Caenorhabditis elegans: one gene and its partners. The protein of the gene in region 3 interacts with the protein of the main gene of each other region in a pairwise test. Each region holds a gene or a part of one and is shown on either strand. Other genes may lie near its edges.

Region 1 (9,582 bases), on a different chromosome or scaffold from region 3:
TGTAGGCGTCCTCTAAGGTTACTCTAGGTATTTCTCTCAATTCCACAACTTCCAGACACTGTGCCTTCATAATGCAAACCTCATCGGAAAGCTTCATGTGCTACGTCTTCCACGTCGAACCGAACGCAGCCGCCATGGCAAAAATGGTCGAGGCTGCTTGTAAGCTTCGATACCAAAAAGTGCTCGACGCCCACTCATCATCCCGTCATCACTCGGGAATGTCGATTCATGGACAACATCCACCATCCACCTACCACGGCAAGGTTTTTGAAACTTCTTCACTTTCCCTTGCTTTAACAAATATAATCGCTTGAAAATTATTTGAAGAGTCACTTTTTTTTGGTGACAGACAAATAATAAACTAACATGTTTCCCATGGAATTTAACATTTTTAATTTTAGATTTTCAGATTCTAGGCCGTCAAATTAGACTTAGGCTTTAAATTGTTTGTAGGGGGTACTGTATTGTAAGGGTTCTGTAAGGGCCTTTTATAGGGTACTGTAGGTTACTGTTAGGGTACTGTAGGACTGTACGGTTACTATAGGGGTACTGTAAGGGTACTGTAGGGTTGCTATAGCGGGCTGTAGGGGTACTGAAGGGGTACTGTAGGAATACTTTAGGGCACTGTAGAAGTGCTTTAGGGGTACTGTAGAGCTGTTGTATGGGCACTGTAGGGATTCTGTAAGGGCCTGTAATGGGGGGGGGGTACTGTAGGGTACTGTAGTAGTACTCTAGAGTACTGTAGGTTACTGTAGGAGTATTGTAGGGATAGTGTAGGAATTCTGTAGATGTACTACAGGAATACTGTAGGACTACAGTAGATCTTATGTAAAGTTAATATGGAAGTACTGTAGGTGCACTACAAGGGTACTGTAGGGATACTATAGGGATACTGTAGGGAACTGTATGGGTACTGTAGGGGTACTGTAGTTTACTGTAGGATATTGAACAAAATTTTAAATTCGAAAAAAAAATTTTTTTTGATCGATGCACCATAACTTTTGTTGTGAGCCGAAATTAATGTGCACATACTACCAAAAAATCCAATTAACTCTTAATAATCTGCTGAAAGCCTTAAAATCCTTAAAACCTAACTTGAAATAATTACAGGGATGGACTGAAACATTTCGCGACGCTTTTGGTTCGGTGACGTCACGTATGGTACCTTCTAGGTCGGCACAACGACTTTGAATTCTTCATTTTTCTTCGGTTCTTTAATTTTCTGTATTTTTGATGGATTTTTCTCATATTTTTTTCTCTCATACTCTGTTCTGCTCATCCCAAATATGCTTTCAAACCAAAAGTTTACCCCGGCCCCTCACTTGGCAATATTCTTCAATCCACCGATACATTTTTACTTGTACAATCCCTCTTTCTGTGTAGCTTTTTCAACATCTGTGACAATTTTTTTTTGTTTTGTAGAATTTGATTTCTTTGAAAAAAGGTTTTTCTGATAAAAATGGAGTTTTATAACAAGTTTGGTGGAATGAACATGGTGCATCGATAGGTCGCGAAAATTGTTTGGCAGGAAGCTAGGCAGGCAGGCAGGCAGGTAAGTGAGCAGGTAGGCAGGCGGATAGCCATGTAGGTATGTAGGTACACCAATAGGTATGTAGGTAGGTAACCAGGCTGGTATGCAGGCATGCAGATAGGAAGGCCGATAGGTATGTAGGTAGGTAGCCAAATTGGTAGACAGGCATGAAGGCAGAAGACAGGTATTCAGTTAGGTAGGTAGGCCGGTAGGTATGTAGATAGGCAGCCAGGCTGGTAGGCAGGCATACAGGCAGATAGGTGTTTAGGTGGGCAGGAACGCCTATAGGCATTTAGGTAGGTAGGATGGCCGATAGGTATGTAGGTAGGTAACCAAGCTGGTACACAGGCATGCAGGCAGATAGGTATTAAGGTAGGCAGGTAGGCCGATAGGTATGTAGGTAGGTAACCAGGCTGGCAGGCAGGGGTCATACTGATAGGTAGGTAGGAACGCCGATATGTATGTAGGCATGCAGGCAGATAGGCATTTAGGTAGGTAGGTAGACAGGCTGGTAAGCAAACTAATAGTTGTTCAGTGAGATATTTAAAGTTTTCAATAGAAAATTTTAAAAAAATTAATTTGAATTTCTTTTTGCAAATTTTTTTTCTAAATTTTTTTCATAATTTTTTGCCTGTTTTTGCCCTTTTTTGCCCCAGCCAATTTCAGCTTCAAAATAGCAAATTCTTTCCGATTTTCCATAGAAAATCTATTCGATCAGAGTGTCGGTTGCTCAAAAATTCAATAAATAATTAATGCGCCCCGACTTATGATGAAGTAAGCTTCTTCTAACCTTGTGATTTTGGGAAAGGTGGGGGACTATTCTCATATTTCAACTAGTACTACTACTACCATCTGACACCGAATACCTTTCCAATTAGTGATTCTCAGGTGGTATAAATTGGCGAGCTGCAATACGGAGATATGCCTTTTATTTTTCGGTTTCCGGTGATTTTGCTAATTTTTCGATGGGTAAGTGAGAATTTTCTCGGTTTTTGTAATTATTCTGCAAAATTTGAATAAAAATTGGCCGCGCTACGTAGGCCAATAGTTCGTTGGGGCGCGTTTGCAGCAGTTCTTCGAATTTTTTAGTTTTTTACGAAAAACTCGTTAACTACAGTTTGAATTTGTTTCTTTCACAAAAACATTAATGGAATTTCCGCAAGCGGCAAACGATTTTTTCCGGCAAACCGGCAAATCGGCAAATTGCCGGAATTGAAAATTAATGGCAAATCGGCAAATTGCCGGAAATTAAAATTTCCGGCAAATCGGCAAACCGGCAAATTGATTTGCCGAATTTGCCGGAAAAATGGCAAATCGACAAATTGCCGGAATTGAAAATTTCCAGCAAATCGGAAAATTGCCGGAAAAACGGCAATTGCCAAAAATTTTCCGAAAATGTGAGGTCACACGAATTTCACAGCGCGCGCTCAAATTGGCGCAATTTCTGTAGATCAAATATCGTTTTCAGGCCGAAAAGACACGGCAGCCGTGAACTGTGAGATTTGTGGAGACAAGTCTTACGGTAGACACTATGGAGTATGGGCATGTGATGGATGCAGTTGCTTTTTCAAGAGAAGTGTACGCAAGAATATTATCTATACTTGTATTGGTTAGCTTTCAGGCCGGAAATTTATATTATCTGAAATTATATTTCAGCGGGAAATTGGAAGTGCGTCGTGGATAAAGGCCGAAGGAATTGGTGCCCGGCGTGTCGGCTTGCAAAATGCACAAGGTTGAAGATGAATAGACTCGGTGAGTAATAGGCTCAGGCCTAGGTGTAGGCCTAGGTGTGGGCCCAGGCATAGGCTTAGGATTAGACATGGGCCTAGGCTTAGACTTGGGCTTAGTCTTAGGCTTAGTCTTAGACTGAGGCCTAGGCTTAGGCTTAGGTGTAGGCCTAGGAGTAGGATTAGACTTTGAATCAGGAATAGTACTAGGCTTATTCGTGGGCTTAGGCTTAGGCTCAGTCTCTGGCTTAGGTTTAGGACTTGGCTTGGGCATAAGGTTATGCTTAGGCTCAGGCTTATGATTAGGCTTTGAATTAGTCTTAGGCGTAGGATTAGGCTTCGGCTCAGTCTTTGGCTCAAGCGTAGGATTAGGCTTTGGCTCAAGTCTCTCTTCTCTCTCTCTCTCCCTTTCCTAGAGTTTCAAACATTTCCGAGTCAAAAATAATATCAAGTTGCGACCCGATTTATGAATTCACAAAAATAACTTGAAATAGTCTAATATGTACACGATGAAAATTTAAATATACTAATAAAAAATATGGCGAAATTATTTGACATGAAAATTATCTTCTTATCCATCACTCCAGCGTGATTGTATCGTCGTGGCAGCTGCGTGCCTCCTCCTGGAACAGCTCCAGAGTTTCCGAGAAGCCGTCCTCCTCGTACTCCTCCGGCTCTGGCACAGACAGCTTCCGCGATCTTCTCGGCACCACGAACGTCCTCTGAAGGATCCTTGAGAGTTCCGGCTCCACGAGCTCAGCACCAGTGTCCTCAGAATCTCCGAGAGTTCCAGAGCTTCCGGAAGCGTTGTCGTCGGGAACTGTGAGCTCCATCTGAGAATGGTCATCTTCTGCTGGAGCGAGCATCTTCATAGTCCGGTCGAGCTCCTCCTCGGTGATTTGTGCTCCGGCTCCTTCTGGCTTTGCAGCTTCCTTGGCGAGAGCAGCAGCTCGGCGACACAACGCCATCATCGAATGACTGGCCAACTTCGGTGGGAATCGCATTTTCATCACTTGCTGACAGTCGGCTTCGCTTTGCAACGTCTCCAGAAGTTTGTCAAAGAGATTCCAGAATTTGTACGTCTCGGCGAGCTGGAGACGAAGCGAGAAATCCATTGACTCATCGAGTGAGAGCCAATTTTCGCAGCGAGCCATCACAAAATCCACGCCAAACCGTGCAGAAACCGTCAGAAGCGACTCCACATTCTGTGCTGTGATTTGATCCGTGTTGTGGTACATGAATTCGAGGAATTTGAGGAAATCCTCGGAAGAGACGTCCTGAATTGTGATCTCTGGATCTCCCGGGGTGGCGAACAGAGACTGGAAGACCCGCGAATGTGTGGCGAGATACTGAAAATAGTGAATTATTACACAAAAATTTTAGTAGTTTTCACAAACCTGCTTCCCCACGTGGAACTTCCGCTCCTCCACCACCACGATTGCGTCGAACACGAGCTCCTTTGGCATCGAGAAGTCCATTCCAGCCATTGTCTCGTTAGAACTGCTGGCGGTGCTGAAAAATCGAGTTTTACTTTGAAAATCCAAGAAAAATAGGCAGAAAATCGGCAAAAAATGAAGAAAAATCGAGTTTTACATTGAAAAAAAATGGCCAAAAATCGGAGAAAAATGGGCAAAAAACGGAGAGAATTGATGACAAATCAAAGAAAATGGAAAAAAAGAAGAAAATTCTGGAAGTGCAATGAAGCGCAATTCCCGCCGGTGTTTGCGTATTCTGCGCAATTTTCGTTTGACCTACGTAGGTCAAATCGAAAAGGGGCACTCTGACACCACCGGAAAACCCGATAAATTTCGGGAAACCGATAAATTTTTAGAAAAATCGAAAAATTACTGGAAAACCAATTGATTTCCAGAAAAATCAATAAATTTGCAAAAAAAAAATTGAGAAAATCGGAGAATTTTTTTTCCGTAAATTTATCGATTTTTTGGTTAATGTATACACTCAAAATAATAAAACTGCGTGGCGTGTACTGCAGAAAACCTCATATTTAGGCCCCGCCTTTTTCTCGTCCACTCACGGAGAAAAGGCAAAAATTTGGGGACCAACCAATATCAGGCCGCCGACATCCTACGGGTTCCGCGCGCCGCTATGTTTAACTCGCTGTGGGCGTGGTGCTGTCTCCGCCCGCTGCGAGTTAAACAAAGTTTTCACAAACCTGCTTCCCCACGTGGAACTTCCGCTCCTCCACCACCACGATTGCGTCGAACACGAGCTCCTTTGGCATCGAGAAGTCCATTCCAGCCATTGTCTCGTTAGAACTGCTGGCGGTGCTGAAAAATCGAGTTTTACTTTGAAAATCCAAGAAAAATAGGCAGAAAATCGGCAAAAAATGAAGAAAAATCGAGTTTTACATTGAAAAAAAATGGCCAAAAATCGGAGAAAAATGGGCAAAAAACGGAGAGAATTGATGACAAATCAAAGAAAATGGAAAAAAAGAAGAAAATTCTGGAAGTGCAATGAAGCGCAATTCCCGCCGGTGTTTGCGTATTCTGCGCAATTTTCGTTTGACCTACGTAGGTCAAATCGACGCCCGCTGCGAGTTAAACAAAGCGGCGCGCGGAACCCGTAGGATGTCGGCGGCCTGATATTGGTTGGTCCCCAAATTTTTGCCTTTTCTCCGTGAGTGGACGAGAAAAAGGCGGGGCCTAAATATGAGGTTTTCTGCAGTACACGCCACGCAGTTTTATTATTTTGAGTGTACGAAGCTGTAATGAAAAGAACCTTACATATATCTACAGAATTGAGACTCTTCGCACCAACGCCCCTGGGTAATATTAATTTAAAAATTGAACAGAATGTGTTGTCAATTTACGTTTTTAAATAGTGTTTTCTTTTTGCTTAACTGATATATCAAGTTCAATTCAGCTGTCCAAACTGAACGAGGACCTCGGAGGCTTCGATGCCTGCAGCTGAAACATACCAATAACCCCATCTCTTTCAAATGTAAGTCTATACTCGGGTAATTCATCAAAACTTATACACCAACTTAGCCTTGCATAGCCTTCTTTCTTCTAAGTTTGACTATTACAAAATTCTGAGAATGCGTATTGTGCAACATATTTGACGCGCAAAATATCTCATAGCGAAAACTACAGTAACTCTTTAAATGACTACTGTAAAGCTTGTGTCGATTTACGAAAATCATTTTTGATCGATAAAATATTAAAAATTAATAGTAAGCAAAAAAATGAACAAAATAATACGAAAAATCGAAGAAAAATGGAATATCGCTGTCACTTTTGGAAAATAAATTCATTTCGAAAGTAATTAAAAGAGATACTGTAGTTTTCGCTACGAGATATTTTGCGCGTCAAATATGTTGTGCAATACGCATTCTCTGAATTTAGTGTTCACGTAATACTTTGGACAACTTTATCCAACTTTTTTCAATCAAATTTAGCAACTTCTACGCTTGGCATTTCTAAAATTGCTAAAGTTGGTGGATAAGTTGTAGATTTCTTCTCTTATTCTCAGGTTTTTTTTTCCATTTCCAGATGACTCGATATTCTCGAAATCCGTAATCCTTACATCAAAATGCTTATTGCTAAACTTCATGTCCCAACAGGAACGTCGAGAAGTTGTTGAAGAAAACTGCCAAATCATATTTGCCCTATTGATATTGGCCAGTGGAGATGAGGCAGTACTAAGCAGGTTTCCAGTAAGTTTTTGGGTCTCACAGCGAATATTACCGTAACCCATTTAAGCCGCCAAAACCTATCCCGCAAAAAGTGCATTGTGACCCAGAACAACTACGGCTGACTATCTGCATACTTCTCTCCCAATCCAGTAAGTTTCAGATCCCCTTTTATTTATGCTAGATCTAGCTAGATATTAATTTTCCAGCCAGTCCCCTTCTGAAATTCGCTGCACCTTTGGAAAACTTTTATAAATGTTGTCTATGGCGGTACTCCTTCACAAATGACTCTATCGAGACAGCTACACAACTAATCAATACAGTTACGTGGCTCTATGAAAACGGACCATGGGAGATGTCAAGTTTGCTCCGAAGCTCCATGAGCAGTCTTATTACTGAAGTCTTTGAATCAGATAATGTTGAATTGTTTTGATTTTCAATTGATGGATGAATAAATGTTTTAATGAATTTACCGGTTTGCAATTTGCCGATTTGCCGGAAAACTTAATTCCGGCAATTTACCGGTTTGCCGGAAATTTTCAATTTCTGCAATTTGCCAATTTGCCGGAAATTTTCATTTCCGGCAATTTGCCGATGTGCCGGTTTGCCGGAAATTTTCAGTTCCGGCAATTTGCCGGTTTGCCGATTTGTCTGAAATTTTCAATTCAGACAAGTTGTCGGTTGGAATGTTTGTCGGAAATTTTCAATTCCGGCAATTTGCCGATTTGCCGGAAATTTAAAGTTCGGCAATTTGCCGGTTTGCCGATTTGCGAGAAATCTTAATTCCGGCAATTTGTCGATTTGCCGGAAATTTTCAATTCCGGCAATTTGCCGGTTTGCCGATTTGTCTGAAATTTTCAATTTCAGCAATTTACCGGTTTGCCGGAAGTTTTCAATTCCGGCAATTTGCAGGTTGGCCGATTTGCCGGAAATTTTCGATTCATGGCAATTTGCCGATTTGCCGGAAATTTTCATTTTCGGCAATTTGCCGGTTTGCCGATTTGCCGGAAATTTTCAATTTCGGAAATTTGCCGATTTGTCGGAAATTTCAAATTTGGGCAATTTGCGGGTTTGCCAGAAATTTTCAATTCCAGCAATTTGCCGATTTGTTGGAATTTTCAAATTTGGGAAATTTGCGGGTTTGCCGGGAATTTTCGATTCCGGCACTTTGCCGGTTTGTCCATTTGCCGGAAATTTCAAATTCCAGCAATTTGCCGGTTTGCCGAATATTTTAAATTCCGGCAACTTGCTGTAATTTTCACTACAAACATCAAAATTATAGACTAAAACCAGTATTTATTGGTTACATGATACATATAAATTTCAATGAAAAGGTCGCCTAAATCAAAATGAAAAAACATGAAAATCATAGAGGTATCGTGTATCATTTAGTCTAATCGGCATTTGACTATAAGCCTGCTGACAGATATCCAATTCGACAATCGTGTAGCGTGGCCATTTGAAAGTGTAGTCCTTGGGTGTTTTGATCCGTTGTGACCACATTTGTGATCCTTTACGGATTTCATTCAGGAGACTATCGAATTTGTAGCATCCACCGAGCACCACTTTGTATCTGGAAATATGGAATTTTAAGTAAAAATTATTGATTTTTTCTCAATTTTTCGATGTTTTCAGAGAAAATTGAATTTTTTTTTACTTTAATTTTTTTTTAAAAATAGGGAGATACTTCGAATTTGAAAAAAAAAATTTGGAAACTTTTTCCAGGTTTCTATAATTTTTAATCATTTCTCATGTTTTTTGAAAATTTTTTTAAAAACTCGAATATATCTTTAAAAAATACGGAAAATCGAAATATTTCAAAACTTCTCTGAAAAAAGCCAAAAAAAAACGTTAAAAATGCAAAAATACCAAAAAATTGAAAAAAAAAACAATTTTTTTTTCTTTTTAAAAGTTTCAGTGAACAAAAACCAAAGATTTGGGTTTTTCAGAGAAAAAATAGGAAAATATTCAAAAATTTGAAATATTATCCAAAAAATCAAAAAATCGGTCAAATTGATTTTTTTTTTTTTAAATTTTTTCGTAAAGCTTTAAATTTTGTTTGATTTTTGAGTTTTTCCCGAAAATTATTTTTTAAAAAATTCTGTTAAATTACAAATTTTTTCCAATTTTTTTCTAAAAACACCGAAAAATCGATAATTTATGAATTTTCTCTGCAATAAACTGTAGAAATCGGAAAATTCAAATATTTTTGATTTTTTCTGAAAAAAAAACACCGAAACAAACGGAAATTTGAATTTTTTTTTTCCCGAATTTCTCTGAAAAAACACTGCAAAAATACCAAAAAGTTGTAAAATTTAAAATTCTCGTCGTTTTTCGATTTTTTTTTCGACCGACTCGAAATTTTTTGAATTTTTTTTTTCAAATTTCCAAACAATTTTTATTTCAATTTTTTAGAAATCTCTTAATTTTTCAAACAAATTTTCAGTATTATTAACCTGCAGAATATCTTATCCAAAGGCTTTTCCCCGTCACCCAAATGTGTATTTCCGACAGCGTCGACGTTTGTAAACTCTATCGAATGAATATATGGACCCATTTCATCTGAAATTTCGAAATTTTAATTTGGTAAACCACGCCCACAAAATGGACACGAAGGTGCAAATGCGCTCCAGTGGACAGTTGGAAATGTCAAGTTTTCGGTGGTAAAACCG
Region 2 (6,871 bases), on a different chromosome or scaffold from region 3:
AACAGTGATACGATCGTTGTTAGTGTCCTCCTGTCCGAAAGCGAAGGCATCGCAGGAAACAGCAAGAAGAACAGCTTCCTTTGGGTCCAAAACTCCACATGGTGGATCAACTCCAAGTCTCTTTATATTGGTGGTCTTGATACCGTATCCAATACGGCGAGCCGAGGAGTTGATCACCTTGATGTGGTAGGTGTGCTTGTCGTCGTACGGTGCATTGAACACGATCTTCGTACCCGGCTGGGTCTGGATATCTCCTGGTGGGACGGATTGGGCACTGGCGACTTCTTTGTAGAGTGTGGAAACTTACAGTGAAGATTATGGTAAACTCTGCTCAATTTATAGCAAATTTCTCTCTTATCTTTGTCCCAGATCTTCACATTAATATCCTCACGTAAAGGTCATAATGGATATTTTGTCACATCTCTAATATTAGTTCAAAAAGTTAATAAATAAATACAATTATTTTTGAAATCCGTAAAACTTCTCACAAATTGAATGCTTTTTATGATTTCAAAAATCTTATACAATTTAAGAAATTTTCCTCCAGGATTGCCTAACTTGACCGAACTAATTAATCTAGTCAGACCCAACTTCCCACAATTTATCAAATTTTCCGAGCTGTCTAGAAAATCTATAGAAAATTGAAAATTTCCTCCACTTCGAAATTTTTAATCATAAATAATAGCTTTCTATATGCAATTTTAAAATTTTAAAATTATATAAGTAATTTTCTACATCTAACAAACATATTTGCGAAAATTTGGCACCTGTAGCGGCCACTTGAACTGAGTTCGTGGCGAGACCCACTCGAAAATACATGATGTGCCTTTAAACTGACCTGGCAATTTTTTGCGAATCTACAATAACAAAAACTGGCAACATTAAGAATATTCCATCTATTCTAAAAACAAAATAATATTAAAAACCCTTTTTTATTAAATAAATTTAATAAATCTATAAACATTTTACAGAAATTCATCGGCCTCAGTCTACATCCAATCTACGGTGGACACTTCGCATTTCGATCGGTTCTCATCTTCCCCAATGTCAAAATTCCGGAATTCTGCGAAAAGGAACCCCGTCCGATTCTGACGGCTTCTGAAGATGTTCGCACAGCACTGGAGAAATTCAATTACAATTGGAAGGACTCTGGATTCCGTGATTTTGGAAATCCAACGCGACGATATTCCACGACTCAAATGGAATTTTTTGGACGCCCCGTCGCGGAGAGATGGGAGGTTTTGAGACCATGGGTCGACGGAGGAGCAAAGAATATCGACTAATATTAGATTAAATGTTTTTGAGATTTTATCTGATTTTTTAGCCATAATTTTTATAGGTGCTGTGTTATATTAGTTTAATAGAATCTATTATTAGTTAAGCCCTACCCTTATTGCCATTTCTTCAATTGATGAGCAGCTTTGTATTATGCCATTTCACACGAATCTACACATTACCCACGGGATATTTTATTGTCGAATTCTATCTTATTATCGCTCAATTTCCAGCGAAAGCCTTGGTTGTGATCATTGTTCTCCCAGTGTATAGCTTTTTTTCATAAATTTGAACGGTGACTAAAAATGTATTTATTGTTGCAAAAAGAAAAGAAGGTTCATTCATTGAGGCATTGTTGCTCCAGGCCATTGGGATGGTGGAATCGATGCGGATACGGTAGCTGGATCCGCTTTCGGAAGACCAACATAGACGGATGAGCTGGGTGCATTCTTTTCGGTGGATTCCGGTGCAAGGTTTCCGACAATCTCCTTTGGTTGTTGCTCAGTTGGCTGTTCATGCTTCTCATCTGACGCTGGAACCTTTACAGACTCGGGAGCAATGTCAGCAGACTTTTGAGCATCCCATGATTCAGGAGCAGTCTTGGATGGATCGATTTTCTCGCGTTCCGAAGTTGGAGCCGAGTTTGTGGGACGCGAAAAAGCCAAATAATTCCAAAAATCAGACTGAAACAAAACGGAAATTCGATGTTAAATCCTCCTAGTATTCTTACAATTTTATCTCTGAAATTCCAAACAACAATCGCAATTCCAACAGCAGCAACTGTCACAATCGCTTCTTTTCGAAAACTTCTCCTCGGAACTGCTGGTGTGATTGCTCGCGACATTTCGATTTGATTAAATTGTGAAATAATTGAAATATTTGGTTTTTCCTGACTTATTATTGTTGGATGTACGTGAAAAACTGAATTTAATTTATTTTTATTCGAAAAAAAAATTATTTATATTTAAGACTAATCAAAAAGTGGTTGCCCGTTGATTTCAATCACCCCTTCATCGCCTTCGACATTTTCGATTATTTGATGATCCACATCTTCGACATGTTCTTCTTCTAGAGTATCATCTTCGTTCACTAAGATCATTTGCTGAAATTTACGAATTTTATAAAAAACAATTTTCAAAATTCCACTCACCACATTACCCATATTATCCCAGTCATTTCCTAGATCCATTTGAAACTGATCATATTCATTTTCAGCAACTTCTCCTTCAATTTCAGCATTTTCCAATGCCATCATCTCATCGCCCTCTTCAATTATCTGCTCCTCGCCTTCATGATTTATTTCAAATTGAGGAACGAGGTGATGATGATCGATAGTTCCATCTGGTTGTTGTAATGGGACCAATTGAATTTTCGTTCCATTCTCATCGTAAATATAATAAGTTTCTCTGAGATCATATCCTTCTGGTAAGAGAACTTGAATATTTCCATGCTCATCATGAATCATTTGTGGGAAGTTGTGTTGTTCTGCTGCTTCATTTGCATCCTCATCTGGAATCATTGCTTGGGATGTAGATGGAATATCATTCGGATCTTCGGAGCTTTCAACAACGACTTCTTCATGTTGAGTTGGAATATGAAGACGTCGATGTTCGATGAACTCCGGACGATTGTCGAATTTAGAATCACAGCACGTCCAAAAGATCTCACCATTTGATACTTCTAATCTGCAAAAATATTTTTTCTAGATATTTTTCTTGTTTAAAACAAATAATTACTCAAAGGTAGGGAGACCTCCTGTCTCAACCATACAAGAAAACGAAGATTTCATATGAACTCGTTCCATGTGCTTGAACAAAAGACGAGGTCGATTCAACTTTAGTCCGCATTCTGGACATGTAACTCGTCCGGCAGTGTCTCCATCAGAAATCTCTCCAAGAATTGGCAGTCGAATTGACATTTCATCAGCCATTTCAAAATTTGTTCGTCGCCGCAATCGTTTTTGTTCTTCATCATATTGGTAAAATGTTCGACGTGATTTCAGGTATTCTGGTACATTTGCCCATGCTGTCTGAAAATGAAAAAATTAATCGAAAATGTTGAATTTAAATCTAACTTACATAATTATGAACATCGTTTTTATGGAGATTCAACTCTGACATACTGTGAGAGATATGACCGCAGAACTTGCAAATATATTTTTTTCGTCGGGTGTGATGCGATGTAACGTGGGCTCTTAGCTTCCCATCATCAGGAAATACTAATGAGCATAATTCACACGTCAGATTCTGAACCTCGTGAGCTCCTAATCGATCAATAAGCTGTAATCGAAGCTCGTCATTCTTTTTGTGTGCTCTTTGATGAGATTCCATGGCTGTTGGATGTGCTATGTTGACGAGCATATTACAGATTGTACAAGCTTCATATTGTTCTCCTCCTACAGTCGGCTGATCTTAAAATGTACATTTTATTATATATTTATTTATTTTTTTCTAATTTTACTTACTTCCAGCAAGAACAGCTTTTACAAGTTGATGTGCTCTTGCTTCGTGTCTCATTTTATCCATTGTTAGTCGATCGCGAGATCGGAGCCGTTCGAACTGAAATCTTTATTTTGTTTTAAAAAAAGTTACAATTTTCTAAATTTAAAATACCTCTCTTTTCTTCCATTCTCCACAAATTGTATTAATATCTAGCATGATATCGTCTAAATTCTGCAGGTGACACTCTCTTCCATGCTTTTCAAGTCCTGATGCAGTCAAAAAAATTTTCTCCTCACAAAATCGGCATGGATAAGATTCGACATCGTTAGCGATTCCTGGCAATTTCTTCGGTTTGAAGTTGGATGGGTGATTCTGAATATTAATAATTTTTCCTACAATAATTTAATACTTAAATTAAATAACAAATCTACCTCATTTACAGTCAATACTCCTGATTGTACTTCATATCCTTCTCGTTTAACTTTTTCACCTTCGTCGTCTCGAACATCTATAATGATTTGAATTATGACTTCTGCGACTAAAAACAATATTTTTATACCTTTCCGCGTATGTTTAAGCGCTACATTTTTTCGTATGATTCTTGGCGGTTTTCGTGGTCCTCCACCTATAATTGCAGCCATCTAAAAACAAAAAAGTTTACTAAATTGTAGAAAGTTAGAGGAATTAAAACTAAAAAATACATGGCAAAACCGATAAAAATTCAATAAATAAAATTTAATGTAAGTGCGCTCCATTGGATGCAAGCGAGAGAACGGAGACGCAGCGTTGGAGTCGACTTTGTGGGAAGGGCCACTAGACGAGTAAATTGGACCAAAAAGTATTAAAAATAATCGTATATTTTTTGTTCGGTAAGCAAAACTGTACGTACTCTTCATGTCTTCAGCTCTGAATTCCAATTTTGATGTAAATTATGAAAATAACAACAAATCCAAGACAATTGCGAGATCTACAGTACTCCTTTAAATCTAGTTGGTCGTTTCGAGACCGGGTACCGTATTTTTTCGTAAATTGCCAGGTAATTAGTGAAGAACGGAAATTTAAATTAATTTTTTTTATTAATTAAAGTTTACATTGTAATAGTCATTTTGTTAGATATGAACTGTTCTCAATTCTTCATTATTACACTAGTGTCTCAAATATGCTGACTATAAAAAAGAGCATTCTCAAATCACGTAAGACCAACAGAATCACACCTTAATATTAGCAAGGATGATAAATGTGGCAAGACGCGTCTCTAGTTTCCTCGATTTTCTCCCAATTCCAAGCAATTGTCATCATTTTGGCAACCTTTCTCGTACATTTTTAATGCCGCCTTACTTCGAAAAAAAAACACGATGAGAATGACAAACAAATTGAATGAAGGAGACAGTATAAAAGAGAATGTTTGAATTGGTCTTTCATCATTCGACTCCAAACACACTATGGTCCACTATAAACTTTCATATTTTCCAATTCGATTTGCTGGAGAAATTCCACGACAGATTCTGGCATATGCCGGGCAAAAGTTTGAGGATCACCGGATTCCACAGGCTGATTGGCCAGCTCTCAAGTCGAGTGAGTTTTTGAAACTTTTTTTTTCAAAATACTATTTATTCGTGATTAAAATGTTGTGCCGCTCTAACCGCTGTGGGCGTGGCGAGATCCACTTGATAAAATCTTGATTAGACCTGACACCAATATTCTGGGTCTTATTATAAATCATTGATTTTTGTTCACAAAAACTGACCTGAAAGCAATCTCAGAACTACCTTTTTTGGTTCAAAGTTCCCGTATAAATCTAACTTTTTTGTAGGGACCTATTTAGAAGGTGCTCTTTGAAATGAAATATGTATAGTTCCAAAATCGAGATATATGTTAAAGTATCTTCCATGTAATAGAATAACAAATACGATCACTTTTAATTGCGAGGCTGGCGGGATATTTGTGTACAGGTTTTTCTAATTTAATTTTTTTATGTCTAAAAATGTTGTATTGAATTTTCTATATTTCCAGCTATGCCGTTCGGAACTCTTCCTGTCCTTTATCAGGATGGGAAACCACTTGGACAATCCCATGCAATTTCTCGTTTTCTTGCTCGCCAATTTGGAATAAATGGAAGATGTCCATGGGAAGAAGCTCAAGTGAATGCAATTGCAGATCAATTCAAAGATTATCTCAATGACATCCGATCTTATAATCTCGTGAAAATGGGATTTGCACAAGGAGATGCCGATGCTCTTTACAAGGACACATTCCTTCCAAATTTCAAGAAAAACTACCAATTCTTCACCAATTTCCTTAAAGCCAGTGGATCTGGATTCTTGATCGGTGACTCTGTCACCTGGGTTGATCTGTTGATTGCTCAACATACATCAGATCTTCTCAGTGACAGTGGATCTGTGTTTGCTGCCAGTCAATCACTTCTAGACGAATTCCCAGAACTCAAGGCTCATCAAAAGAAGATTCATTCTATTCCAAATATCAAAAAATGGGTTGAGACTCGTCCAGTTACACCATTTTAATTCTAGGAACACTTTACCAACTTTTTTGTTGAAAATAAAGTAATTTCATGATTCAATACATCAAAACACTACATCGAAGTGCGGGAAGTAATTGAATCAAGAAAATTAATTGCAATTTAGTTTATTTCCTTAAAACGGCAACAATCTAAAAAAAGAATATTATTACAGAGACACTTAATAGAGTTATTGGGAATTTTGGCAATATTTTAGTATGCAGATACTGCAGAAATTTAAACCACTTTGCAATGCAAACAGAAACCAAAAATTCCAGGCTTCTTTTGGAATCATTTCGGCAGAACCTGCAGAAATGTTAAAGTTCGGTTTTTTTAAAAGAACTGATCGAAGAAACATTGCAGTGTCGAGCCAGCTAATCCAGAGGAAAATGCTCAAACTAGTGGAAAGGAAGCTCTTTTTTCGAGCATGACAATATTATCTCGTTTGAAAATCTCTGAAAATCTGTTCAAGTAAAAAAACAAAAAACGAACTATCAATGAAAATTTATTGAAATTTTGGAAGTTCACAGATCCTATGGGTTGTACTCAATTGGGAGGTTCTTACGACGGACCATACCGTCTCCTTGGAACCATTCCCGACGGAATTGCTTAGCAGCACCATCCGGAGTGTTGGTCCACT
Region 3 (7,906 bases):
TTTCGGAATTTCTTTCGATTTTTTCTGAATATCGGAAAATTTAGAAATTTTGTTTTTTTTTAATCTTTCAGGGTCACTTTTCAAAATAATTTTAGGTTTAAAAAATTAATTTGAAAATGCTCTACTTTTCTCATTGAATTCAACATATTTTGGATAAATCAAAAGTTTCTAGAAAACTTTTTCTGCGATTTGATACACCGAAAATTCAAAAAAAATTTCGAGAAGGGGATTTTTCCAAATTTAGAACGTATTTTCCAGTAATTTTCCATTAAAATCTCAATACCGTTTGCTGATAATGTGTGACAGTCATATGTTCGACAACTTCGGCTTCTTCATAACTCTGAAAACCGCACATTTCAGAACATTCGTAAATTTGGCACGGCTCTGCTTGAATTGTTGGCTCCGCGACCTGAATAAATTGTGACGTCGTTGCATTGTTCTCTTCCATTGTTTCACCGTGATTTGGATGATGCATATGTTGCTGAAATATTTATAAAATTGAAGAAGTGGCAGAGATATTCAGAATATTCTTCTATTTTTGTAGAATATCATAAAAAAGTACTTTTCAGTTCAAAAAACAGTTAATCAAAAATAAGTTGCGCACATTTTCAAATATCCAAAAAATTCTTTATTTTTTATTTTTTCATACGATCCATACGATCCGAAAATACGTTAAAAGTCGGATATTCTAGAAGATTTCGTCTAGAATTCCTATGAACTATATGCAAAAATGGCATTTTGATAGTTCTGAATTTTCTAAAATACAAAAAAAAATTGCAAAAGTAAAAGGATTTTTGTGATTTTCAAAATAATCAAGTTAAAATCTATGAAATTTCGTATCAGAAAGTTATTTAAATTTTCAAAAAAAGAATTTCCGAAAAATTAAAATTTCTCACCTCTTCATGTTCATTCTTTTCATAAACATTCAAGAATTCAGCCGTACAAAATGAACATTTGTATGGTTTTTCATGTGCATGTTGCTGCATATGAGTTTTTAATGTATGTGCTTGACTGAAACTTATATTGCAAATTGAACAAACATTTGGCTTCTCTCCAGTATGTTTTCGAATGTGTTCAGTTATTTTTGATGGATATTTTATGTGCTTATTGCATTGAACACAATGATATATTTGTGCCGGTGGTCGTTTTTTCATTCGATAACTTCGATTTGTTGGATCATTTCGACGATAAAGACATTCGGGACGACTTGGAAGAATTTCGACGGATTCGTTGAATTGTTCATATGTAAATGTGGGAATTCGAGTAGTTGGTTGAAAAACTCTAATATTTGGAATTCGAGGACGAGGTAGTTGAGGTTTTACACAAGATTCTGCCATTTCTGAAAATATCGATTTTTATTTTTCGACGTTAATTTTTTATGGGCCTTCCTGGACCTTTAGAAAGTTTTTAGCAAATTAAAAAAGGTATATCTAAAAAAATTTGTTTTGGATTTTGTGAAATTTGAAAAAAACAATTAATTGGTTTTTTACATTCTAAACCCTTTTAAAACATTTTATAGAAAATTGGGCTCAAAAAAAAAGTACCGCTACATTTTTTCGAACTGCTCAAAAATAGCTTGCTGAAAGTTTGAAAATGTTAAAAAAAATTTCAAAATCTCATCTTTTCAATTTTTGCGAAAGGAGAAAGTTTCAAAATATATTGGCAAACAATAAAAAAAAAGCAAGTATAATTAAACAGTAAAAATACTGAATACGGAAAAGAAAAAAAATTTGAAAAATCTGAGAAAAAAAATCTTTATTAAAAAAAGAAGCAAAAAGAAACTCGTAGGTTAACCAAAATAAACTGAAAATTGTGAGAATTAATTCTCACAATTTTTCTAGAATTTGAATGAAAAAAATGGTTAAAAAATGCAAAATTTAATAGTGGCCTAGAAATTTGAAATTTGAATAACTCTTCCATTTTAAAAACTAATTGCTGGGTGGAATAGAAAACTGAATATATGAAGTAGAAAATGCTAGTTACCCTATAAGTTGCCTAGATATTGGAAAATGAAAGAGCTTTTTCAAGTTTCTGGTCAAAAATGAACAGTTTTTTGATCTTCCATGCTTCCTCCTTGCTCCACAAATTCCTCTTCATCATCTTCAAAATGAGCCAAGATCTTGACGTCATCACCATCACCAGTGAGCATTATAATCTGATTGTTCTGTTCATGATCATCTTCATAAACAATAACTGAATCCTGTGATTCCTCGTGATTCACTTGAACATGATCGAAAATTGGTGTGAAGAGCTCGGGATGTGCATTTTTTCGATGTCTCATGAGATATACACGACGAGCAAATACTGCATTACATCCTTTTACAACGCATGTGTAACGTTTTATACCTGGAATGTTTCAAAAATTGTAATTTTTGTAGATGACTACTCTTTTAAATATTTTTGAGTTAACATATTTTCAATAACACTCTTAATTTGAGAAAATTCTAAAATTTGCAACAAAAAAAAATGGAAATTGCTTTCTTTTTCTAAATTACCCCCGGTTTTAACCCAAATTTCGGATAGTAAAATATATTTTGAATATTTACCAGTGTGTACAGTCATTTCATGTTCTTTTCTAACAGAATCCGTTACAAAAGACAATCCACATCTCCAAGTACATTCAAATGGACGTTCTCCAGTATGCATTCGACGAATATGTACTTTTAAAGAGCTCGCTTTTGACAATGACAAGCCACATTCTCCACATTCAAATGGTTTTTCGCCTGTGTGTGTTCGGATATGATCCTGAAAAATGGGAAAGAAATTTGTATTTAAAAATAAATTTATCTTTCTTTTTTTTATTAAAAATTGTAATTTTTGATTTCAAAGTTTAGAAAATTCAACAATTTTCGATATAATAAATCATATTATATTTTTCTAGAAATTTCAGAACTTGAGAGGTTTATAAATAGAGAGAAAATTGGAAATTTTGTTTTTTAACACATTTAAACCTATAAGCTTTGATTTAAAAAATTTTAATTACAAATATTTTTTTCTGTTTGCTCAGAAAATCAAGTTTCGAATGCTTTTTATCGAAAAAATTGTTTCTCTGTCCAATTCTCAATTTTTCAGCAAAAATTCAGCTTGTGGGCACTGAAATAATTTTAATTTTTCATTTTTCACCAAAATTCGTTTTTTATCGAAAAAAAAACTAACAGCAATTTTGCTCGGATGTTTAAGCATTAATCCACAAATATTGCATTGTGCAAGTGTTGCTCTTCGATTTGAAATATATGCTCTTTTCTGAGGAGCTTTTTCTGGTTCTTCGATCGGAATTTCTTCATCAATCGGAGCCAAAACTCGAGCCAATACTGTATTAATAACGTCATCAATTCGAGCATTAGATATTGCAGCTTTTTCCATTTCTTTTTCTGATGGATATATAGATTGTTTTGTTGTTTGATTTGATGATTGAAATTGAGAAGGTGAAGAGGAAGAAGTTGATGGATCACTTTGAAATATTGAGTCTCTGCAAAGTTATTTTAATTTCTTTTAAATTTACCAATTCGGAAATAAGATGGAAGTTTTCGAATTTAGAAATTTTCAGGAGTTTTATTTAAATTATCAAAGTTTTTTATTAATTAAAACACCGATTTTTTAAATGTTGTTTTAAAATTTGTTAAAGAACAAAAAGTGTTAAAATCTCAATTTTAAAGATTGCTGATTAAACACCGCAATTCACTTTTTAAAAAATGTAAAATCTTATAATTCTTGTTTTTTGTTGTAATTTTTATTTATTTTATCAAGTTTAGTTCACTTCTGCATATACTTACATCGTTGGTGGTGATATATAATTAGCTAGTGCAGAATTTGAAAGTATATCCATATCCATTGATGGACAAACAATCTTTTTAACTGGTTTCAGATAAGGCCGTGCCGGTCCTGCTCGCTTCTGCAAAAAATATATCTTATTCCGGTAATCTTTTAGGATATAAATGCTTGATTCGATGTTTTAAATTTTTCTATAGCATAAAAACTTTTCTTACCAATCCATTATGGCTTAATTCGTGTGCAGTTCTGCGTGAATTATTCACAAATCGTTTGCCACAACCGAAATTACACAGAAATGGGAGATCACCCATGTGTTGAACACGAAAATGGTTAATCATTGGAGTTCTTTGAGTGAATCTCATTCCACAAATGTCACATTCGTATGGTTTTTCGCCTGTGTGAGTTCTCATGTGTTCCTGAACAAATAAAAATCTTCATTTTGTTATAAAAATAAAATATTCTGTACCATAATCCTCGATGGATATTTCAACGCAACTCCACATACTTCGCACGTCGTCACCGTCGGCAACTTTTGATTTCCTTTCCTTCAATTTTATATTTAATAAATTTTTAGCACAAAAATTTCATACTTTTTTCTGTATGTCGAATCTGGAATCTTGACAATCTCCTCGAGCTCTTCGTGCTCTTTTTGCGCGTCGGGAGTGCACTCAGCTGCCCATTCCTCGAAAATTGCATCGGAATTCTGAAAATTTTTGATTTTCTTAATGAAAATTGGAAAACTAAATTGAAATTAGTTATTTTACTTGCGATAAATGTACTACTTCGTCTAAATCCTCGTTATTCTTCATTTTGGTTGTTTATCGAATTTTAGGATCTGGAAAAATACACAATTAATGGCAATAAGGAAGATTTAATCATATAAACATAAAAATTTTAAAGATTAATAATATTTATATGAAAGGAAAAATTCAACAAAAACTGTTTTAAATAGAAGAAAAAGTCAAATATTGATTTTTTGCGAATAAAAAATAAAATTGAAAATAAACAACGACACTCCGATATCCCGTCTTCGAAAGAGCGCGAAATTTGAATTGAGGGTTTAATAAATATAATTCTTTGCAACGGCTGAAATCTTGTTTCTTAACGAGACAGAAGAAGAAGTAATGAATAGATCATTGCCATCACATCTTCATTTCCATTCAAATATTGGAGTTTAATCTTTAAATTGATAAAAGCCGTTCGGATAACATACGAGTAGAAAATGTTCATAGTGAAACAGCAGCACGTTGATCATGCAAATTCATAAGGAAATCAGGAAGTTTTACGAGTCTAAGAAATAGGCGAATGTTTTGTGTTGTGTATTGAGCGTTAGACAAGGAGATTTACGTAGATAGAATATTTTACTTTTAACGTAGATAGAATATTTATTATGAACATACGAGAAGGAATGTGAATAAAGGCTCAATACTCGAGAAATCGAAGAAAAAGAAATTGAGATGCAACATGGAATTTAATAACGATCTCCGTGATGGCGTGAGCGATCTCTTGAATAATCCCGCTTTCTTCTTCTATAGTCACGACGATGGTGATGCTCTGAACGTCTGGGGGTCCACTCATCTGTCGAGGGGCTTCGGCGACCACGCTGTGAAATTTACAGATAGATTTAGTTGGTTTTTTCGCATGATCGAGGAATAAACTAGGTCATTTTGCAAATTACTCACCCTCTGGTTTCTCAATGGCGATTTCGGTGTATGTTCCCTGTTACGTGGCTGGTGTCCTGCTCCACGTCCCCGTTGATTAGATGGAGACATCGGCGATCGCCTTGAGGGGCCCTCCTCCCGCTGCTCGGAGACGTCTGAAATGTTTGAAATCGAAACGATGGTCTGGGACCGCTTTGCTTCCGGAGAGATGAGGTTCCGGAATCAGCTTGTCCACAGCTAGAGTTGACAATGGTGCACCGAAAGACGAAGAACTCGCCCTATTCCCAAAAAAGTTCCCAAAAGCTGGCTGGGCCAAGCGAGGAGTGGAAGGACCTGTAAAGTCGAAGCTGCCTTCTCCAGATCTTTCCTCGACGGCTGGGATTGATGACCCGGAGACCGCACGATCGGAGAGGAATCCTAGACGTGCTGGTGCAGATGAATCTTCTGGCGCCTTTCCACGTGAGCTGGTAGGAACAACATTCTCTAACCGTGACATAGTCACAGTCTTGATGAACTGAACATCAGGAGATGAGGAGCCATCTCTCTGAGGCCCTCTGGAGTCTTTTGGGAGCTGGCGTACTTCGCAAAAACCCATATTTGGTGCAGGGCTCCTTGTAGTAACCTCTTCTTTAATTGGAAGAGCTGATGTGGAAGAACTGTTGAGCTCTACATCGATTTCCGGAACCTGGTGGCTGTAGGATGTTTTCTTCCTCGAGATCTGATTGAAACACGGAAGATCATCATAAGCAGGAGTTCCTCCAGTCCTCCGAGTGTTGTGGGCATAATTGGAGGAAGTCCTATGCTTATGGTATTCTTCCTTCGATATAACCATAAGAAATACGTTCAGCGACCTATGACGATCCACCGATTTATCTCTTCCTATCGGAGGAAGTACTTCCATTTCCGCGGTCTTCGAGGTGCACAGGTCTCCATTGGTGACGCTGTGATGGTTGTAGAGTTGGCTCGGATCCGTGAGATCCATGCAGCACTTCTTGCAACGGTAGAGGTAAGTCCTCCTGAAATTAAAATTATGTAATATTACAATGTAACATGGTGGTATAGAAAATGAACCAAAATCAACGTTATTTTTCTCAAACTTGCAAGAAATGGCTGAATCACATTTGAATTCCCGCGCAATTGAATGCACTAGTTTCAACATTTTTGTGTTTTCCGGCTAATATTTTCTTGTCCCTTCAGATAGTTGTCTAGTCCGTCAAACACTCTTCCATTTTTGCATTTTATGAAAAACTTACGTGTGAGTGCCCATGTGTGTGATGCAGTCAGCAAGGGTCCCCACGAACCCACATTCTCTTCCCCTCACGTCCATGGGGTACTTGCAGTACATGTGCATTTTGTTGGGGGCATAGGACGGCTCCGAGCTGAAATATAGAATAGTGGGAATACTATTTTTTTTCCTTAGTTTGGTGAGTTTCGAGTTGAACAACTTTGCTGCGAGACTCAGGAAAAAAACGAGAGAAAAGCTGACACAATTCATTTGTAATATTCCCCACCTAAATGAAAAGCACTTTTTCCGAAGTTTGTTAGGGGTTCAGCAAACATCTACCTTAGATCGGGTGACAACAGTCGAACGTGATATCTCACTATAATAGTACCGTAGTTAATGGGAAGGGTACGGTATGTTACATTAAAATTACTCATGGATACGGTGCGGTAAAATGGGTTAATGTAGTAAATGGTATGGTAGGTTAAGTTAGATTTATTTACGGTATGGTACAGGGGTGTGCGGCAAGTTCGGCAAATTCGCCGCACCCCCCTGGTATGGTGCTAGGGTGCACTACAGATTACGGTTTTAAGAAGTACTGTAGGTTAAGATACCTTTCTATAGGGGAGGCCGGTTACGAGTACGGTAGGCTACGGTTTGATACCATAGGCTAGGATACTATACATACTGTAGGGTAATATTGGCTACGGTACTTCCAGGTACTATGTATATGTGATTGTGAAATATTTCAAGATACTATGGTACTGCAGGATATATAGGCTACGGAACAATAAGTAATAATACAATTTTTATAAAACTTACATCATTCTTCTAGCCTCCTTATTCATGTGGTCGCCAGCTCGCATCATTTTAACATTAGATTGAAGTTGTGGTCTCGATGAACTGAAATTTAATTTCAACAGGTAAAACTTTCAAAAATGTATTCGGTGACTCTTTCCGCGAAAGGGGAGGAGCTTCAGAGGAAAAATGAATCAGAAATGCCCTTTAGTGGAGTGAGAAGTGAATATAACCTGAGAAAGAGCACTAACATTTTAATTTTCTATAATCGCCGAAAAATCGGATGCTTCGAAATTTTTAATATTTTTAAAAATAATTTTTAGTAAATCAAAAACCTATTGAAGTAATTTTTAGAAATCTCAAATGTATTTTGGATATTTTAATCTTTGAAATACAAACAATTTAGATTTTTAGATTTTTTTGGGTAACATCAAAATCAAACAAATTGAAAAGT

The links. Proteins that work in one complex are often made in the same cells at the same time.
Region 1: the proteins of let-391 (region 3) and nhr-239 interact in a two-hybrid assay, tested with the Caenorhabditis elegans proteins (one large-scale study listed by BioGRID).
Region 2: the proteins of let-391 (region 3) and ZK546.5 interact in a two-hybrid assay, tested with the Caenorhabditis elegans proteins (one large-scale study listed by BioGRID).

What each region holds. Positions count from the first base shown.
Region 1 is NC_003281.10:2,559,214-2,568,795, forward strand, and holds nhr-239 (Nuclear receptor domain-containing protein), read left to right. Parts: upstream 1-2,496; coding exon 2,497-2,500; intron 2,501-2,999; coding exon 3,000-3,140; intron 3,141-3,187; coding exon 3,188-3,283; intron 3,284-3,705; exon of another isoform or gene 3,706-3,836; coding exon of another isoform or gene 3,837-4,607; intron 4,608-4,655; coding exon of another isoform or gene 4,656-4,745; exon of another isoform or gene 4,746-4,770; intron 4,771-6,141; coding exon 6,142-6,219; intron 6,220-6,770; coding exon 6,771-6,934; intron 6,935-6,980; coding exon 6,981-7,062; intron 7,063-7,119; coding exon 7,120-7,343; 3' UTR 7,344-7,382; downstream 7,383-9,582. Other genes in the region: feh-1 (Protein Fe65 homolog), read left to right, coding at 56-263, 1,111-1,191; Y54F10AM.11 (BTB domain-containing protein), read right to left, coding at 3,837-4,607, 4,656-4,745; Y54F10AR.2 (Mitochondrial genome maintenance exonuclease 1), read right to left, coding at 8,255-8,483, 9,367-9,472.
Region 2 is NC_003280.10:4,933,304-4,940,174, reverse strand, and holds ZK546.5 (C2H2-type domain-containing protein), read right to left. Parts: upstream 4,358-6,871; coding exon 4,276-4,357; intron 4,225-4,275; coding exon 4,148-4,224; intron 4,089-4,147; coding exon 3,888-4,088; intron 3,834-3,887; coding exon 3,740-3,833; intron 3,686-3,739; coding exon 3,354-3,685; intron 3,305-3,353; coding exon 3,012-3,304; intron 2,961-3,011; coding exon 2,426-2,960; intron 2,378-2,425; coding exon 2,246-2,377; 3' UTR 2,201-2,245; downstream 1-2,200. Other genes in the region: cblc-1 (MMACHC-like protein), read left to right, coding at 972-1,283; ZK546.4 (Energy transducer TonB), read right to left, coding at 1,617-1,958, 2,006-2,119; gst-30 (glutathione transferase), read left to right, coding at 5,159-5,291, 5,730-6,238; msp-152 (Major sperm protein 152), read right to left, coding at 6,765-6,871.
Region 3 is NC_003279.8:6,035,105-6,043,010, reverse strand, and holds let-391 (C2H2-type domain-containing protein), read right to left. Parts: upstream 4,609-7,906; 5' UTR 4,581-4,608; coding exon 4,554-4,580; intron 4,475-4,553; coding exon 4,362-4,474; intron 4,317-4,361; coding exon 4,238-4,316; intron 4,188-4,237; coding exon 3,987-4,187; intron 3,893-3,986; coding exon 3,774-3,892; intron 3,470-3,773; coding exon 3,157-3,469; intron 2,746-3,156; coding exon 2,547-2,745; intron 2,347-2,546; coding exon 2,036-2,346; 3' UTR 1,744-2,035; downstream 1-1,743. Other genes in the region: szy-5 (C2H2-type domain-containing protein), read right to left, coding at 284-481, 897-1,337; C27A12.4 (C2H2-type domain-containing protein), read right to left, coding at 5,530-6,448, 6,686-6,811, 7,477-7,523.